Bombyx mori: one gene and its partner. The protein of the gene in region 1 purifies or fractionates together with the protein of each later gene. This does not show direct contact. Links are inferred from orthologs where the notes say so. Each region holds a gene or a part of one and is shown on either strand. Other genes may lie near its edges.

Region 1 (3,569 bases):
TATTAGCTTATTATAAAAATATATTTCGTAATTCACTGGCAAATAGGGAATTTTTCGGCCAGTATTCTAATTTATTTTAAAAGATTAAATCTAATTTAAAATTTAATCTAAACATTTAAGGTGCCTAAAAATAAAAACTGCAATACTTATAGAAAAATAGCAATTACTAAGCAAGCTTCTTGTACTTTTAATCATCCAAACAATTAAAATCAACAGGTAGCCAACAAAACATGTAATAAAATTGTAATTTTCTTTATTGGTATTATTACCTTCATTGGAAGAATCTTCATTGCCATTCACATTTTCTTCATCAGACGAATTAACTTCACCTCCTTCAAAAGTCTCATCATTCGAATCACTTTCATCATCTTCCTCAGCCTCTAGCAGCAATGATTCATATACAGCAGCAGCTGCTCGTCGTAATTTGGCCTTCTTTGGTCTTTCTGGGGCTTCTTTTTCAGAACTTGATACTGGCGAAGTTTTATCTAACATAACGATGATATTTATTATTTATAAAATAAAAATTTCTTACTTTTTAATTAGGGCAGCCATATTGGGAAACATCAAGGTTGACAGCATGTCTATATTACAAATGATTCTGCTGCTAGTCAATGTACCAAATTGATACATTGTCACTATCATTGATAGTGATATTGATTGATACTATTCAATCTAAGCCAACATTTACTATGCACATTTTCACTACCCATTATTTATTTTTAAAATATTAGTTATAATGCTATTGTGTTTACCTTTAGCTTTCCCAGACTTGACTGGCGTGGCAGATCCATTAGATGATGAAATATTGTTGTCCTCCCCTTCAGCTTCTTTTGAATCCGAAACTTCTCCATTGCAAACATCAGAACTATTCCTGGGAGCCACATCACAGCTTTTAATATTTTCACTTTGTTCAGGCTGGTGAAAATTGTCATCAGAACTGTCTGGTGCCGCTGAGTTTATTTTCTCAGGTTCTACAGCAATGGGATCTTTTGCAATGGTATCTGGGTCACTTGTTGATACCTGAAATGGAATAAAAATAAGAATGGAATATACCTGAACACAGATTTGTCACATTACAATGTTTGTGAAATTTTATTTTTACCTGAAAATATGAAACAATCAATAATTAGTACTGTAACACTAAAACTGTAAGCATTTATAATATCACTGTCATACTGGTTCAAATACAGATAATTACCTCTCCATTTGTTTCTTTGTCTTTTTCATTGGAACTTGTAGATGAGACTCCCCCAGTGTCATCTTCTGTGTTCATCTTGACATCTTCCTGTGCAATAAGTCCATTTTTGCTAGATGAAGCTCCTTGATTAGACTGTTCGGAACTTGAACCTAATGATGAGCATCCTAATCCTAAGTCACTGGAGGCACCTATAGTAATTTTTTAAGTTATTTATTTGCTCTTATATACTTTATTGATATTTTGTGAAAAACAATAAGTGAATGCTGATATGTACTGTAAGTTGTTTTTCAATTGGTTATGGAATTTCAATATCCACAACTAAGAAAAATTTCACTAATTAGTAATTTAAATAAAAATAAAAAACATAACAATCATTTAGTTCATAAAGATCTATAGACTTTTTATAGATATTTCATGTACAGTCATCATTAACAATTAAAGACCTGCGGCATCCTGTTCATCAACATTCTTCTTGGCACGTAGACATGGCGAGAGTGGCGTAGCTGTGTCTCCAAGTCTATTTCGATGAAGTGAACTTAATTTGTTTTCATATTTAGCCAACACCTCCTGTGTAACGAATGTTTTCATGATAAATTTGGAATATAAATCGAATAGCTTTAAAACCGAATGGGACAATTTTGGACAAATATGAGGGTTCTTGGACATACTGCCGTTTCCTGCAGGTACATGAGAATGTATAAAAAGCAATATCTTTGGACAAGACAGGCTCTTTTATTAATGTATCAGAAATATTCCATCCAATCCTTTTTAAAGATTACTTCAAGTCATGATTTCTACAGGGCCCTGGTAATTACTTATGGATGTAAATTTGTAGTCTGTTTATTTAGTGTCAAAAAAAAACAGAATGATATTTTTCATTGTTTTCGTGGTAGTATTTTTTTATGATTGTAAGATTACTAGTGGCCCGGAGGTCTTTCCAGTTTCATAAGGTCAAGTGGGCGTGCAAAAGCTCAGCCAGGAGGGGTGGGATTTGCTAACAACTGGCCGAGCGCCTCCAAAGGAGACCTAACAACTCAAGAGCAATTGCTTTGCGAATGAATCTACTACCGGATCGGAATCGCGACCCGCTGAGATCTGGCGAAAAACTCAGCGGGCTGATGCTGGGGTTAGGTTGCACGTCGACCTCTTTGTCGAGTTCGACGAGTACGGTTACCAGGGTTCCTCAGCCTGCTCCTAGTGTTAGAGCTGAAGGTATCTAATGCAAGAGTTATTGGATCTGATGGATCCGTAAGGACGTGTCTAGGGCGACGACGGTGATTTGCTCCTGCGTGATAAGGATTCGGGGAGTAGTCAGCGGCGGCAACGATAAGGCGATTATCATGAGGCATAGCCTTATCGAAGTACCGTTCCGACATTGACTTCATGTGTTTGCGGATCGTTTCGAGGCCCAGGTCGTCGTGTAGGTCGACGTTCCTCACGAACCACGGAGCCCCGACGGCTAACCTGCAAAAGCGGGATTGTAGGGATTGGAGGGTGTCTATGTGTGTGCGGGCCGCGTGAGCGAACACCACACTCACGTAAGTCATGACGGGCCTTATGCAAGTTTTGTAAAGCGTCACCTTGTTCCGAAGGGACATTTTACTCCGCTTACAGATCATGGGATAGTCTGCCGAGAATAAATGCGGCACAGTCGCGGACTGTTTTTATATGCAGGCGGAATGTCATGGATGCATCCAGGGTGACTCTTGATCTTCCTGGCCCAGGATATAGGTTGTCCGAAGAGGGTGATCGGGAGTGTGATATTCCTCCTCCTAATGCGGGAGGAAATAAGTGAGTTTTCCCTTTGAAATAACACTGCTGTGCTTTTCGCTGGGTTGATGTCTGTTTTAGTGGTGGTGTTTAGCTAGCTAAAGTAAGTACTGTGATCACTCACATGCGATTCATTCATAATGGCATAGAGATGGTCAGAGTTCTCTTACAAAGCTATGCAACTAAGCCTAATCAAATCCTACAAGCAGATATGTTAATAATGTGTGGGATGTGAAATAAATGTGATGTTGTTATAGTATGTTCATGAACTAATTCCACAATGAAGGAATAATAATATCTTGTCTTTTACTTAAGTAAAAAAAATATGGGTTCTCTAATCAAGGTGTATGTGAATTTATATAATATCTAAAGTAAGCTCGAAACAAGAAAACTTTGAAATAACTCACCTGCAAAGGTAGATGTGCTTCTTGGTACAAGTTGGTTACATTTTCATCATCAGATTCTTCCTCATTGTCGCTGGAGCCTGGTGGATTTATTTCACCTTGACAAAAAAATTAAAAACCTTATAAACTTTGTATTTTTTTCAATCAATGTTTGAAATGATTCAAGTTCGATTTGCTTATATATCAGCTATTCTTTG
Region 2 (4,183 bases), on another chromosome or scaffold:
AATACAGATTCACATTCACAACTCCCATAAAACCAATTTGGAACTGCCGAACGATTTTGTGAATCAAATTCAATTTCCGGCACGAGGTTTTGTGTATGAGTTCAAGAACGCAAACAACTTGTCCAAAGTAAATTTTTTTTCACTTTTTGAATTGACTATTAAATTTGACTGGTAAATAGAAGCGAATTCAAAGCTAAATAGATCTTTATCCTTAGACCTATATTCTTGTATTTTGAAATGTCTTATTTATGTATATCTTTACGAAGTTGCCGTTTTACAAGGCCATATTATTATGACACATCATGCATGCCTAGAAAAAAATTTAAATTCTAGCAATAAATCATAAATTCAAATTACCTAATCTTATTTATAAAATATGGAATTCTATTTTCAAATTCGGTCATTTGATTAGTGCTTTGTTTTCATCACATTCATGTTAATATAGGTATAGTAAAAATATATGTAATAATGGAATAAGAGTTCCATCGCGGCAACAATGCCGCACAAACAACCCACAACATTAATTATATATGTATGGAGTGAACACTTTGAGTAAGCCTTTCCGGAAATTTGATATAAAATACGAACGCCTAAATCTATACAATCATCAACGACGAATCAGAAGCGATCGTGGAAAATAACGACACTCAAGCTATCGTTGAATTAGCAACAGCTTTTAATGCTAGCATCAATACAATATAGGTTTATTTGCGTCAAATTGGGAAAGTAACAAAACTTGTTATGTAGTTGCTGTACCAATTGAACGATCGCCAACGCGACGAACGCATTAAAATATAAGTTGCGTATACAGTTGCTCGACAGACTCAGAAAGTAAGGGATTTTAAACCGCATTATTACTTGCCAAGAAAAAATTATTATTTTTAATAATTGTAAGCGGTCATCATGTTGATTATACCCTGGTTAAGCAATTAAGCAATGCCCTAAACAAAAACACATCCATAAAAGTCATGGTCAATATTTGATGGTCTAGTGCCGGTATCACACCTTCTGATCAAATGGCAACAGCATTACTGCAGATGTGTGACATGAGGAACTGGACAAAAGTTGAATGCTCGCATAAATAACTATTTGCTATTTGAGATTAATTATGGTAAATCCATTAGGACTTCTTGGAAAGCTTATCATTGTCATGATATATAACCAAATACTTGAAATTGAAAAACTTATTGTGGTTTATATGTGCCTTTTGGGGGAAATCGAGAGAAATTACACTTGATTAAATACCAAACACTTTTTTCTTGAAAAATCAGCTGCTAGCGACATCTTTACCAGATTTCGTGGGCCAGTGTCCTACACTATCACAATTGAAATAGAGTATAGATTAAAAATACCCTCTGCTGGCAACAATACTCAATAGCCAATATTTCATGAGTGTTCTTCCGTCGTCCGCCGGTTTCTATTTTTCAAAAAACAGGATTGAGTCAGTCTTTTGCAACATAAACTTAAGAATAGTGAAACAATGCACGCAGAAACAACATTAACGCTTATACAAATACTTGAGAAGACAGTTTCACCTGGTAAGTAATATGACTAACATCAACATGAACATGGATGGCGTTATAGAAAATAACGTACTTTTGCTACCTATAAACTATGCCATGATTCTGAAATTTATCCGGAAAAACTGTAGAATGGATAAAAAAATGGCATTTCTCAGCAAAAAGCATTTGAATTAAAACGAGACTGTAATTTTATCTAGTATCACCAACCGCAATGCTTACCTGTCATCCAGGAAACTTCTAGTTCAGCTTTCGAACCTCACGATGTCTGTGTTATTAACATTCAATGAAAAAGTGTGCTATAACTTTTGAATTCAATAGCTATTTTAATTCATTGTACATATAAAAAACAAAAAAATAAGTTTAAGGTTAGAAAATAGTGGATATTCTGTAGTATTAAATGAATAGGTAACGATTTTGTACATACATACCCTAATAAGAAAGAAACAATGTGCAACAGGGGCCGTATAAAATATATTTAAACAACATTATTTCAAAGTATAAAAATATTTATTAAGAAATTATAATAAAAGAAGTAGTGGTACTAAATAATCAATTGGTTTTGATGTTCCCTTGGCATGGATGACTTGGATTAGTGATCGTGACTACTCACCATTAGGTGGCCCATATTCTCGCCTGGTTTCAGTGGTAATAAAATACAAAAAAGACCTCACAAATTTGATTCTCTAACACCTTTTGTTTTCATGTGACATATCAGTATACAGACATAGTTAAATTTGGGGTACTTCACTTTGTAAATTATGTACTTAGATTATGGTTATTGCTTACAGATCGAAATGAATTGGAAGCAGCAGTTAGATACCTCGACCATGCTGCCACCACAAATTTCACAACATTCATCAAAATGTTGTCCGATGTCCTTCTCCAAGGTGGTAACAGTCAAGTGGCTAGGATGGCAGCTGGTTTGCAATTGAAAAATCATCTCACTTCTAAAGATCCTACACTTAAACAACAATATCAACAAAGATGGCTGGCTTTGGCAGAAGATGTTCGACTTTATATAAAAGAAAATGTAAGGCAATATTGCAAACAAGAAACAAGTGAAACATTGAAAAATTCACTAATAAGTTACTTAATAATAAAAATATATATAATATTATCTCTAAGCTAAATTGCTCAATTATTGTCTAAATAGCAATTCCCTGTATGTCTTACTTAGATTAAAATTAAAATTAGTAATAAATATAATTTAACACAACACTAATAAATACAAACACACAAGACATCTAAAACGTAATTACGCCACCCATCTTGAGATACAAGTTCTAAGGTCTCAGGTATAGTTATAGTATAGAGCTTGAACTAATGAAGGTGGAGAATCTGATAAGTTCCATCAGGTGTAGGTAACCAAGTTATATTTAATTTTAATACTAGTTTCTTTTTTAGATATTAGCTGCTATAGGAACAGAGAATAGTCGTCCAAGTTCAGCAGCACAGTGTGTGGCGTATGTGGCAGTAGCTGAGCTCCCAGTAGGACAATGGAATGATCTAATACCAATTCTTGTAGAAAATGTTGTTCATGTCCAATCTACTGAACTCAAAAAGGAAGCGACTTTGGAGGCTATTGGTAACTGAATGAACATTTGATAGTTAAAAGAGCTATGACAAATTATGTTATATAAATAAACAAAAAAAAAATTACAGTTTTAATTGTGCTTTATAACTAAAGGCAAATTGCTATTAATCTCTTTAACAATACTGATGTATTTCTTATTCTTCTAGGCTACATTTGTCAGGATATTGATGCTGAAGTATTAACAGAAAGAAGTAATCAAATTCTTACGGCCATCATACATGGCATGAGGTCAACTGAACCCAGTAATCATGTTCGACTAGCTGCTACTCAAGCTTTGCTCAACTCTCTAGAATTCACCAGAGCGAACTTTGAAAAAGAAAATGAAAGAAACTTTATTATGGAGGTTGTCTGTGAAGCCACACAGTCTAGTGACATGAGAATCAGCGTTGCTGCTTTGCAATGCTTAGTAAGTTTTATAAATATATAATGTGAATCCAAGTATTATATTTAAAATTAAAATAAAATACCACCTTAGCTACCACATTAGCTTTCTTCCCATGAAAGTAGAAAAAATTATATACCTCAGGAATATTACTTTTTTGTGGATAGTATCCTTTTATGTCCTTTTCTGTACTCTTGACAGCATTTATGTAAAATTTCATAATTAATGATTGATTAGTTAGATATGAAAGTGTATGAATTACAATTTATATTAATATTACATTTACTCAGTTATAAATTTATAATATTAACATGAATAACAAAGCTAAGACTTATTTTTTGGGATACCAGCTATTGACATGATTAAATTTAAACAATTACTGTATTAATTAATTTAAAAAATAGTTTTTAATCAAACAAAATTATCTTCAGGTGAAAATTTTATCACTTTATTATCAACATATGGAACCTTACATGGGACAAGCTCTATTCCCCATAACACTTGAGGCTATGAAATCTGATATTGATGAGATTTCATTACAAGGTATTGAATTCTGGTCCAATGTGAGCGATGAGGAAATAGATCTCGCAATTGAAGAAGCTGAAGCAGTTGAAGCAGGTATGAAAGTGATACTTCTATTCTCCTGTTGTGTTTAAAAAAATGACTAAGTATAAACTTTCTAAA

The links. The genes of interacting proteins can lie anywhere in the genome.
Region 2: the proteins of uncharacterized protein LOC101741975 (region 1) and importin subunit beta-1 purify together in Homo sapiens (affinity purification with mass spectrometry; 3 studies listed by BioGRID and IntAct, with this or other methods). This does not show direct contact. The link is inferred for Bombyx mori from reciprocal best matches to the Homo sapiens genes PPM1G and KPNB1.

Annotation. Positions count from the first base shown.
Region 1 is NC_085116.1:6,775,757-6,779,325, reverse strand, and holds part of uncharacterized protein LOC101741975, read right to left. Parts: intron 3,471-3,569; coding exon 3,376-3,470; intron 1,766-3,375; coding exon 1,642-1,765; intron 1,387-1,641; coding exon 1,199-1,386; intron 1,021-1,198; coding exon 753-1,020; intron 486-752; coding exon 270-485; intron 1-269.
Region 2 is NC_085110.1:11,420,935-11,425,117, forward strand, and holds the start of importin subunit beta-1, read left to right. Parts: upstream 1-1,342; 5' UTR 1,343-1,480; coding exon 1,481-1,538; intron 1,539-2,311; coding exon 2,312-2,553; intron 2,554-2,927; coding exon 2,928-3,108; intron 3,109-3,263; coding exon 3,264-3,523; intron 3,524-3,930; coding exon 3,931-4,117; intron 4,118-4,183.